Linked DNA regions of Saccharomyces cerevisiae S288C. The protein of the gene in region 1 interacts with the protein of each later gene in a biochemical or structural test. Each region holds a gene or a part of one and is shown on either strand. Other genes may lie near its edges.

Evidence for each region.
Region 2: of the proteins of PHO81 (region 1) and PHO85, one has a biochemical effect on the other in vitro, tested with the Saccharomyces cerevisiae proteins (6 studies listed by BioGRID, with this or other methods).
Region 3: the proteins of PHO81 (region 1) and PHO80 form a complex in vitro, tested with the Saccharomyces cerevisiae proteins (5 studies listed by BioGRID, with this or other methods).

The regions. Positions count from the first base shown.
Region 1 is NC_001139.9:954,018-959,928, forward strand, and holds PHO81 (Pho81p), read right to left. Parts: upstream 4,194-5,911; coding exon 657-4,193; downstream 1-656. Other genes in the region: NAS6 (Nas6p), read left to right, coding at 1-629; YHB1 (flavohemoglobin), read left to right, coding at 5,887-5,911. UniProt on the Saccharomyces cerevisiae protein: Inhibits the kinase activity of the cyclin-CDKs PHO80-PHO85 and PCL7-PHO85 under low-phosphate conditions.
Region 2 is NC_001148.4:491,362-494,560, forward strand, and holds PHO85 (cyclin-dependent serine/threonine-protein kinase PHO85), read right to left. Parts: upstream 1,677-3,199; coding exon 1,660-1,676; intron 1,558-1,659; coding exon 657-1,557; downstream 1-656. Other genes in the region: SVL3 (Svl3p), read right to left, coding at 1-3; TRM44 (tRNA (uracil) methyltransferase), read left to right, coding at 2,182-3,199.
Region 3 is NC_001147.6:323,592-326,721, reverse strand, and holds PHO80 (Pho80p), read right to left. Parts: upstream 1,474-3,130; coding exon 592-1,473; downstream 1-591. Other genes in the region: IZH2 (PAQR-type receptor), read left to right, coding at 2,358-3,130. UniProt on the Saccharomyces cerevisiae protein: Cyclin partner of the cyclin-dependent kinase (CDK) PHO85. Negatively regulates the expression of phosphate-starvation-responsive genes under phosphate-rich conditions.

The DNA.
Region 1 (5,911 bases):
AGCTGCTACACTCCAAACCTTCCTTGTTGCTACAGAAGGACCAGGATGGCAGAATCCCTTTACACTGGTCAGTTTCTTTCCAAGCACATGAAATTACCAGTTTTTTGCTTTCTAAAATGGAAAATGTTAACTTAGATGATTATCCAGATGATTCTGGATGGACACCTTTCCATATTGCTTGTTCAGTGGGGAATTTGGAGGTGGTAAAGTCTCTTTACGACAGACCTCTAAAGCCTGATCTAAATAAGATAACCAATCAAGGAGTTACATGCTTGCACTTGGCAGTTGGTAAGAAATGGTTTGAAGTATCCCAATTTTTAATTGAAAATGGTGCGTCCGTAAGAATTAAAGATAAATTTAATCAAATTCCATTGCATAGAGCTGCGTCGGTGGGTTCTTTGAAATTAATTGAACTATTATGCGGTTTGGGCAAAAGCGCTGTAAATTGGCAGGATAAGCAGGGTTGGACCCCACTATTTCATGCTTTGGCTGAAGGGCACGGTGACGCAGCTGTATTGTTGGTGGAAAAGTATGGTGCAGAATATGATCTTGTAGATAATAAAGGCGCTAAGGCAGAAGATGTTGCCCTTAATGAACAGGTTAAAAAGTTTTTCCTAAATAATGTATAAGATTTCAAAACTACATATTACAGAACTTTACATATCAATATTATTCTCAAAAAGCAACTCACAAGCGTAGTAGATCCCGCTGTAACCTCCATCAGCTGGTATTTGGTCATTTTCCCCGACCGATGCAATCAACAGTAGTCCGTTTTGTTTGATGATCCTAGCCAACGACGGGCATATCTTCAGTACTTCATATGGAAGCGTTACACCTAACAAATTATTGTTCATAGCAAATTGAACCATTGTATGTATGTTTATTAGTTCCGTGTTTAAATACGACATTTTTTGAGGATTTACGGCCAGTTCCTTTAAACAATTAGGAGTATCACCTACAAATTTGCCTGTGGTTGAATCTCTGAGTAGATTTTTCATTTGCAACAAAACCGGAAAATTGGGTTGTTTCCAGTTAAGGATCGAGCAAGCTTCCCAATTGCATGAACTGAAAACTATTTGGCGCATACTCCCACTTCCGCTGTGACGCAAAAAACGTTCATGCTCGAAAATGATTAGTAAAAGCTTATCAATGAATTGATTGATATTTATAAATGGCGATATTTTGATGGGAATTGTGTCAATTTCCTTATCTGTAGGAAAATATACACGAATTACCAGCTGGGCTGACCCGGGAATAACTTCTAGTAGGCTTCTGAGAGGCACCACTCTCGAAGATAAGTATTGTTTCAATGTTACTTCATCGAAGCTTCCATCAATTTTACCGAAGTCATAATCCACTACCTTTTCCAATTGTTCTTTCGTTAAATCATTTAACAGAATCTTCGTGCCTTTGAATTCAACGTATGGTTTTGGCGCAGCCACTATGGTTTCATCATTCAGAGCGCAAACTAATACACTAATAAAACTGCCATTCAACGATGAAGAAGTAACAAAATTACCGTCTTTACTAGAGGTCATTAAATCACTTCCTGTAGATTTCCAATACGGCTCATAATTTATGATTTTCAGTGGATTTCCCGGATAAGGAAAAATAATTTGGTAATCCAAAGTGAGAGATCCAATATTATTTAGTCTTGTGTCGAATAAGGGTAAATTCATGGTTGCAATACTATTTATTGCCACCTTCTTGAAAAGGAATGGCATTGCCGTTGTTTTGGCAATTATCCTTGTGCCAAATGAAGGAAATATCTCGAAATCCATTGAAAAATCGTCGATTGAATCTACTTGGAAAATTATCTCTCCATCATCATGATCTTCACTAATTTCATCATCATCTTCTTCATCATTTGTTTCACTGATATCCTTACAAAAGTTATTAATTTCGCCAGATCTAACAGGTAAAATAACATTTCGCGGTATTATTTCAGGTAAGTTTGAGGATAAAGTAATTCTGCCTGGTGATGATGACATAATAATGCCGTTATCCTGAGTCAACTTGATAGACTCGAGACCTGGCCTCAACTTTAATTTGATGAAAATTTTTTTCTCCAAAAAATTATGACCATATTTCCTTAGTGGAATGATTGGCGGTGGTAAAGCAAAATCCGGAATGCTATCTTGAATGTCTAAATCAAATTTGTCATCATTTGGGGTTAAATCTATTGTATTAAGGCGTTGCGTACTAGACTGCGAATTTATTTCATTCAGGGGTGCAGATGGCAAATTTAATGGTCTTTGTAAAAGTGCATTCAAAACATCAACGTGGCTCTCCCATAAGGCGTAAAAAAGTGGCGAATGGCCGTTGTCATCTTCAATATCCAGACGTGCATTATGTTTCAATAGTTCAGTAATAACTTCAGAATGACCTGAACGAACAGCGTAAAAAATGGGCGTCCATTTATTAAACCCATCAATTTCGTTGGGATCCGCCCCATAACGTATCAATAGTTGAATTAATTGTGGATCGCCGCCAATTTTTGCCACTATATGAAGAGTGCATAAACCTGTTGAGTTCTTTTTGAAAAGCGGTTGACACAAGTGTTGTGAACTTTTGTTCTTGGCATTATCAGCATTTTGCTTACTCCGAATTTCTAAAAGTAACTTGGCGGCGTCATGATTATTAAATTTACAAGCAACATTTAAAGGATCGAACTGGACTTTAGTAGAGCTGATTACATTCTTACTATAATCCAGAATTGGCTTTTCAATGGGTGATGCGTTCGCACCACCAATAGTCAGCAGATCCCTAACAACATCTATGTGGTTGTTAGTGATAGCCAAAACCAAGGGTGTCTTAGAATCACTATCAATGGGATCAACGTCCTCTAAAAGATTGGTGATTAGCAACGAGTGAACAAATTCCAGTTTTCCTAGCTCTGCAGCATAATGTAGCGGCACCCGCGAATGTATATCTTGGGCATTCAGTAGTTTTTGTACTGTTTCTTTAGATAACTTTGATGTTGTTAAAGCCTCATCTAGAATAAATAAGCGTGATTTTTCTGGACAACTTGCAGCCTCGTGAAATACGTTTTTTCGTGAAAATACTTGATCATCTTCGTCACAATATGACAGATCAATATGATCCTGATTGCTTTTATAGAAAATATGCAGAGAGTTATCGTCCAAAGGACTAGCCACCAGTAATAAAAACAGCGTCGTTAAGCACTCCTTCAACAAAGAAAAGACATTTTTATGAAAAGATTCTGAGGAATTTTGTAGCAGATATGTGAATATCTTGGTTTCTCTGAAGTTTCTTAGTAGTGCATGCTTTCTTTGAACATCTTTCACCGTGGCTATATTCAAAATTTCCTTATACCAGTTTTCGATTTCCATCTCCATGTCCAAGGAGGAGGAAGATGCTTGAAAAAGATGTTCAAGTTGGTTTTCCGAAATCTTTGATGTTGTTAATTCATAATTATTGTGTAATATGTTATTATTATTGTTGTTGTTGTTGTTGTTATTATTATTGTTATTATTATTATTGTGTTTATTATTGTTGCTGGTATTATTGTCGTCATCATCGTCATTAGTAAACGTACTGGATTGTATGTCTGCCCTTCTATTGTTGTTGTCAATATCATTCAGCTCTAAGAGAATATGTAAAGTTTCATCGTTTAATTTTAGTGGCCCATCTCTGGTAAAAATTGGTTGAATGGAAACAACAGTAGCAAGGTAAAAATCTTTATCGTGAGATTGAGATCTCTTGTCCCATTTCTTCAGAGCTTTTGAAAATCCCGTTTTATTTAACTCAACATACTGCTCCAAATTTCTAAGATCCTTTTGAAACTTTTTGAAAGCCGCATATAAGTTTTTAAATGAGGTAGCTTGGTTTGAGTTTAGCTTACCATTTATCTTATAATCTTTATATTTTGAGTGTAATATATTGAATTTTATTCTTAAATCGGACTCTCTCGCCAAATAATAACCATTTACTTTTTCCAGCTCCCTCTCTAGTTTAAAAAAAAAGGCAGCTTTATTTTCTTGCAGTCTCTGATGTATAATTTTTTCGTCGATGTCATCTAATGTTAAATGCAAATCTAAATCTGAACTAGCCTTTAGCGTGGGAATGGCCAATTGTTTGATAAGTTTCTTTAGAGCCTTATAATCAATAAAATGGCTGTTGTACTCCGCCAGTTCCAACTGCCTGGCTTCCAAATACTTGCCGAATTTCATTGCACGTTTATCTATCTATGTTGCCTCCAAAGGGTTATTCTCTCAAAAAGCTCAATCACTGTGGAACCGAAAAATAATGTTATGAAGATTTTTTGAGCAGTATGTCTTGTCAAAAGCTCAACTAGTGCAGCTGATGTTGCTTAAAAAAATAAAAACCAAATTTTTCTACTTTGCTCTTGTACGTTGCACAAAGAAGATTATGTAACAAACTTGAAGGGACTCTCAAAAACTTGCTATAAATTGTACAAAAGCCTCAATATCACCTAGTAGTGGTTCTATACCTGTCTCGAGCCATCGCCAAATAGTTGATAAATTTGATTAATTTCTGCCCTTATTCGCACGTGCCATAACACCTGTACCTCTCACGCTAAAGACCTTTATAATCAAGGAAACTTGTTGCTGCAGAGGAAATAGGAGGTAATGAATTGTGATAAGGCACATCACATCAATTTTTCTTGCATTCTTGCATAGAAAGATAGGCTGATGCAATTAGCGCGTTTCAATCGCGTGCCAAAGACGTATATACTAAGCAATATAACCGAATTGATTAAGTAGTTGGTTAATTGTATATTTTGTGATAAAGATGGTTAACTGACTTAGGCGGACATAATAGTAGAAAATCTATATAATTTTTCCCATGCAGTTGTTATTACAAAATGCAATTCTTGAGATAGCACAAGCAAGAATAATAGGGCACGGTACGTTCATTCACGTAGCGTTAGCTAGTGCTGCCACAAGGTAAACGTACGATTATATTCATTTTTGAAACGGAAGTTCTTTGTAACCCTCATGCTCGTTTGATAGTCACTTAACTACAAGATATTCTCGTTCAGTGATTGCTTGCTTATAAATCAGGAAACTTCATTTTTATTCCTTACATTTTCGAAAAGCCCGCAAGGTTTTCTTCGCCACGCTCAAGCATTCATCGTTGAAAAGCAAAACTGTGCACACTGTACCTTAGGCGACTCTTCTCCGAACAAGCTCATGGCTCATTTTTAAAATCACAAGCTTCGTATAATTGCCAAGACATAATCTAATTGAGAAGGTCAGACGGCAAAACAAATGACCGAAATCTTCGTTTATTGGTTCGCCTGCGTTGCCAACTGGTACATTTTCCCAGAGTACCAGCAAAGGAAGGCATCCTTGATGCCTACTCTGATACTGTGGAGGATTTAAACTGAAAATGATAGTCTGCGCGGCAAATCTTTCTATTTCTACTAAAGTTGGATCCTCCGGCCGATATAACGTATTCTTTTTATCCAATAATGTCAATTTTAAATGCTCGATTACTAATCGTTACTAAAATAGCGGACGCGCTTATGCGTCTTCGACGGATAGTTTTCAGATCATCCCTCTCAGAAAGCAATGCAGGAACCGCCTGTAAAACTATCTTTTGCTGGCACTCACACATTATGGTATTGATGCCACCTGAAAATACGGAAATTAACCATTCCTTGTACGGAGATCTAAGAGCAACTATTATTGAATTGTTGCCGTTAAAGTTTCATTTCAGTTCCGTGTGTGGTCAAGTACAAGACTACTGATGAAATATGTTGTACACACACGGAAATATATATATATATATATATATAACAATATTGTGGGTTGAGGTGGAGACTTGATTTTTCTTATACAGTATATTCTTGTTCATTTTTTACCATTTTCAACAAACCACACAAAGACTTTATTCATTATGCTAGCCGAAAAAACCCGTTCCA
Region 2 (3,199 bases), on another chromosome or scaffold:
CATAACTATAACGTGTGTGAGGGCGAGCAAAGCAATTAAACGAAATTGATCTTATTGGTGAGCGTCAGACTGCTGGAGTTGTGTGTTATAAAATGAAAGAAAAAAAAAAGGAAGTAAAACCAGGGAACGAACCGATAACTATTTCTCCCCTTTCTGTTTGTTCTTGGTTTTGCTTGCTTTGTTCTGATCAAGACCAAAAATAGCTGGGTGGCTACGAATAAGAAGGCCAAGATTAGAAGTGTGTTACTCTCACTAATTGACTGTTTAAAAATAAATAAACAAACAGGTTCAAAGAAACGAGAATAAACAAACAACGAACGCCAACGGAAAGAACCGACGTTGTGTTTGCGTTTACGTTCTGCTCTCTCACTTGACACAACACGAAGACCGAAAACAGCTTGGGAAGCATTCACCGATCGTTATTCGAGAGGTTTCCAGTTTCCTTTTTTTTTTTTTTCACTCGCGGTATAAACGAATGAAAAAAAATAAAAAATTTTCATGTTTTTCCGTTCCGGAAGACAAAGCCTGTCCGCCTTTAAGGCGGTAAAAGCCGTCGTAAAGGCTGTCGTAAGATGAGACTAAAGTAATAGTAGTGTATTATAGATGATTATTATCATTATATATACATGGCTACGGTTTTTCGCTGACGGGCTGCGTTATGAAGCGTGGTGGTAGTACTCTGCAAACCAAGGGTGATGCAGAGCCTGCTTGGCGCTCAGCCTCATATCCGGATTAAGTTGCAAGAGTCCGTGTAAGAAATCCATGAGATTCCCGTCTAGCGGTTCTTTGGTGTGTGGTTGCAATACTTGACGTAGGTCTCTTGGTGGTCGTTGCTGGATATTTGGGTTGTATTTGGGTAACTTTGTTACACTGGGCCATAGGGACTCATTAGGAGTGCCCATGATGTCGAAGATCAATTTCAGTTGTTCTTCGTCGTTGGTGCCAGGAAACAAAGGCTTACCCGTTATCATTTCCGCAAGAATGCACCCACACGACCATATATCAATGGATGTGGAGTACGTCCTAGAACCCATTAGCACATCAGGAGCACGGTACCACAACGTTACGACTTCGCTTGAAAATGTGTTGACCGGAATACCGAAAGCACGGGCCAGACCGAAATCACCCAATTTCAACTGGCCTCTCTTGTTGATTAATAGGTTTTGAGGTTTTAAATCACGGTGGAGAATCTTGTTTTCATGGCAAAAGGCCAGCCCTTGCAGTAGTTGCCACTGGAAGTATTTAACCAAGTTTAGTTCTAGCCCTCTTGGTGTGTTGCCCACGGTGCGGGAATCCATGTATTTCTTTAAATCGTTGTCCATGAATTCAAAAACCAAAGTCAACTTGTTCTCTGTGTGAATAACGTCATAAAGTCTAACAATGTTCTCATGTTTCAATTCTTTCATTAGGGAGATCTCACGGATGGCCGTAGAGGGTGTACCTTCCTCTGAATCCAGTTTTACCTCTTTCAGGGCAACATATACCCCTGTGGTTTTGTTCAGTCCCTTGTACACTGTGGCATACGTACCATTGCCAAGCTTTTCTAACTGCTTAAATCTGTTCATAGAGCTCGAGGTTGATTTTTTCTCGTATATATGTTAGTATTCATCATTTCTAGTTCTTTACTTTCCAATGATACTTGACTAGAAAACTACATACTGTGAAGAAGAAGACATTGGTATTGCTCAAGTTTGCCCAGTTTGCCGCGCTATATATCCCTTATCTGCAATTATACGCTATATGGTAAAACTGGATTCCCTTTGTTATCTTTCAATTAGAAAGCTACGGGCTTACGAGTCTACGTGTATGGTGATTTGTACGGAAAATGAACTGCACACAGAGGACAAGCAAAGGGTCTAGGATAGATAGAAGTAGCGCATCCGGCCTGTCTATCCCTCCGTGTCTATCAATTCATTTAACGTGTCTGGACGGACTATGGTAACTACTTTTTGCGTTTTTGCACCTTCTTCCTGTTTTTTTGGTTTTAGTAGTGCACTTATTCTTCACTTTTTTGCTCTGCATTGTTAAAAATTTCATTTTTTGCATTTTGGAAAACCCGATGACATTATTCTTTGAAATAAACCATATCATTTAGAAAATGCGATTTCCATTACGCAAGATAGACAACGCATTTGGTCCGATTATATTGCTATCTTGTGATACTTCTCCTTTCTCTCAACAATGACTGGCGACGGTAGTGCACATATTTCTAAAAACAATCAAAATCAACACAAAGATCGCTTCAAGTTTATTGTGAATGATAAAAGTATTCTAGGACCTCAATGGTTAAGCCTTTACCAAACGGATGGGAAAGTAACATTCGCAAAGTCCCACTTCGAGCAAGCAATGATGAACGTTATTAGAGAACCAAATATTAACTCTACTGTCATATTAAGAGCGGATATTTTGAAAGAGATCAATCATGCTGCAGAAGCTGGGTCTGAGCCAAAATTTGACGAGTCCGTATTAAAAAAGTTTGAGATCGATAATGGTAATGAAAGCGGTGAAGAAGATGTCAAGAAGATAAATATTGAAGATTTAAACATAAGGTCGTGTGAAACATCTGAGAGTTTAAAATTGTCACCCGTTCATGAATTTGTAAGAAGGATCATTCCTAGGAATTTTTACAAAGATGCTATCATAAACCAAACATGTTTAATCCTAAATAGCAAAGACCCTAATTTTCAGGAGACCTCATTGATTGTATATACGCCGCACATTAACTCTGAGAAAGACTGTCCGTTTTATATTCCAAGAACGCAAAGTGTAGGCATTTTGTTACACCAGTCAGTTCTTTCTGTACACTACATTCCCTTCCCCGAGGATAAAACTGCCTTTACAGATGAATCTGAGCGTGTTGTAAGAACCGCTTATAGGTTATTACAAACTGCTAACAAACACTCAAAGGGTGTGATGCAGGGTTATGAAAAGAGGGTCAATCACGATCAAGTGGTAAATAAAGTCAATTTTCAGAACACATACATTGTTTTGAAGAAAAAATACTCCAAGTTCCTGGTGGAGAATTGGGCAGAGTCTACAGACCCAAAAAAACATGTTTTTGAAGACATAGCCATTGCCGCTTTCCTGATTGAATTATGGATTAAAGTGTACGGTCCAGACTTCCGTTCAAAAATGCAATTTAGAGATTTGGGATGCGGCAATGGTGCTCTTTGTTATATTTTACTGAGTGAAAGTATTA
Region 3 (3,130 bases), on another chromosome or scaffold:
GTAAAATATTATTAATAATATCACGTGAACTTATTTTGCATTTAAAAAAAAGTAAAAACTATTTGCTAAAATATATTTTTTTAATTTTTAAAAATAATGTTTTAATTATTTAATGTATATGACTTCCGAAAAATATATATTTGATAACAAAAATTATTATATGCGATATTGAAATTTCATTGTTCAGTATTTTTCCACTAAAACATGTGAAAGTAATTTTCATTATTGAACATGAAATGGTTCTGTCAAGGAAGTTTTGAAACTAGTATCTGAAAAGAACAGTGATGATATGAATCTACATGTATTTATCAAGTTAATTGAAATGGAGTTCTCAAGCTCATCTCGAAGTGTTTTCTGTCGCTTATGCTCTTATGATGCAAAAAGGCTGAAATAGAACATATCCTTCTTTAGCAAAAGAGGGAAGTTATTCTCTTATATACTACCTGAAATCTTGAACTTTTTAGCCAAATGATGGCCAATTGCTTATTATACACACACAGATATATATATATATATATATATATATGTACAAATGGAAAGTTTTAATTTTGCTCAATCATGATTGCTTTCATAATACCCCACGAAAAATCATTAATCTGGCTTTGATCGCTTGTTATAGATATGTGCGTCCTTTGCCTCAGAATATCGCTTTTGTGAAGAGTGAGAATTGGGTGATGACGACCCCTTTAGTTGAGTAGTTTGGGAGCCACTTTCACTCACTATATCAATATTTGGCGGGAGAACATAATCAACCTTTCTACTCTTATCAGGTGAAGCGTTAAAGGAACCCACCAGCTGAACTATTCTTCGATAGTATTTATCTAGAACATTATATCCACTTTTTGGACGATTAACGTAAGAATAAGAATCCAAATCGAGAGACCCTAATGCGTTTTTATCTATGACAAACTTTTTCTGTTTTTGCTCTATACTACATAACGTAATGTTATGATCCCGCGGAATGATTCTGTAGTTTACTCTCTTTAAAAAATCGTTCTCCAGTATATTCAATTCGTGACATCGTACTCCTCCAACTTTTGCATAATGGGCGTTTGTTGAGAACGAATCACATAAGCCTTTTGTTGCGACTGTGGTGGCTGTTAATAAAAACCTATGGGCAGTCAACGAATTAAGCGTAAAATCAGGATACACAGTTTGCAATAAATCGATATAATAGAGTGATGTCATAAGCACACAATGTTCTAAAGAGGAAAACTTTGTCAGTCGTATGAAATAGTTGAAGATTGATATGTTTGGAGGAATCTTAGAATGGTATCGTGTTAAAGTAATTTGGTCATCAGATTTCTTTGTTGCTGAATTTTCATTGATTGCTATCAGCGATACTAACATTCGTGATATGAGCACCACTAGGTCAGTTCTAGAGCATTTATTAAAATCAGCGGGCAGAATTACTTTTGGTATCCCTTGATCCTCATGTATATTTTCGGAACGTTCTCCTGATGTGCTTTCCATGATTTCTATGAGTCTCCAAAGGATATCCTCGTCTTATGATAGCTTGCAGACTTAAATTTGATAAACACTTATAAAAAGAAAGGTTATCTGCCTCTCGAAGTATATAACTGATCACTGGAACGCTATTGGAAACAATACGGATGATAAAATTGGAATATAAATAATCTTAAGAAGAAAAAAAAAACAGGTAGGAGCTATAATCGGCTAAAGAGAAAAGAAGAAAAGTTGCAGTGTATACGGATGAGCACTTTCAAAGTAATATGGCTATTTATGATGGCTTGGGGCATTAGATTAAAGGAAAGCCAATATACGCTGAATAACTTTCTGAAGTTTGAATCCTTTATTCATCAAATGAAGAAGAGATCCTAGGATGAGTATGGAGACTGATTGTTTGTTAAAATCTTATAACCCGTATGTGTTTCCAAGGTGGTTTACAGAAGCCTCAGGCTCTCACCTACGGGTTAAAATCTGACTATGGTACAAGCACGTTCGCCTCATTCATATTTTCCATAGAAAGCGGACTCAAATTTTGAAACCGCATTTTAGAAAGAAAAACTCGATAGCATGTTAAATATTTTAAAGAATACCATAATTCGTTAAAAATACAAAAGTGTACTGATATCGTACTTCCTCTAGGGTAGCACTACCTTGTTTAGGCCAGAAATTAAGTAACAAACTTTTCTTGTTTGCTTCGAGTATACTAAAAAACAGACACTCGGGGTTAATAGGCGGTCTTCCGTTGTTGAGCTCTTTTTTTTTTAGAAATCCAACATCTCTTCGAATAGTAGATTAGAAATAGTATTTATGTCAGCGTTCCTTGAGCCAAATGTACTAAATTTCCCGTCGTTTTAATTATGCTGCATGTTGGAGAAGAATCATTCCAAATGTCAACTTTATTAGAAAGGACTAAGAGTGTGCAAGAGCTGAAGAAGAGAGCTGCAGGGAAAACATCCGCAAATCCCGCAGAGGTCGCTAAAGCTAAAAAAGTACTAAGAAGGCTATATAGTTGGGATGAAATTCCGGAATGGCAAAGAGACAATGATTTTATTTTACATGGATACGTGAAAGAAACTAGTAGCTTCATTGAAACTTTTAAAAGTTTGTTTTATTTGCATAATGAAAGTGTCAATATTTATTCACATTTAATTCCTGCTCTCGGGTTCTTCACTGTACTGTTGCTAGATAAATCTACTATCAAAGTGTTTGCAACAACTACATGGCTAGATCATATGGTAATCGACCTCTTTTATTCGGGGGCGTTTGCATGTTTAATATTGAGTAGCTCCTTTCATTGTCTAAAGAGTCACTCCTTAAGAATTGCTACCTTAGGAAATAAGTTGGACTACCTTGGTATTTGTATATTGATTGTTACGTCAATGGTCAGTATTTTGTACTACGGCTATTTTGAGAAATTTTCCCTATTTTGCCTATTTGCGCTTATTACCGTTAGCTTTGGGATCGCGTGTAGTATTGTGTCACTAAAAGATAAGTTTCGGAAAAGAGAGTGGAGACCTTACAGAGCTGGGCTATTTGTTTGTTTTGGTTTATCCTCAATTATTCCAATATTCAGCGGCCTTTACTGCTATAGTTTTTCAGAAATTTGGACCCAAATTCAGCTCTTTTGGGTATTACTTGGGGGTGTCCTATATATAATTGG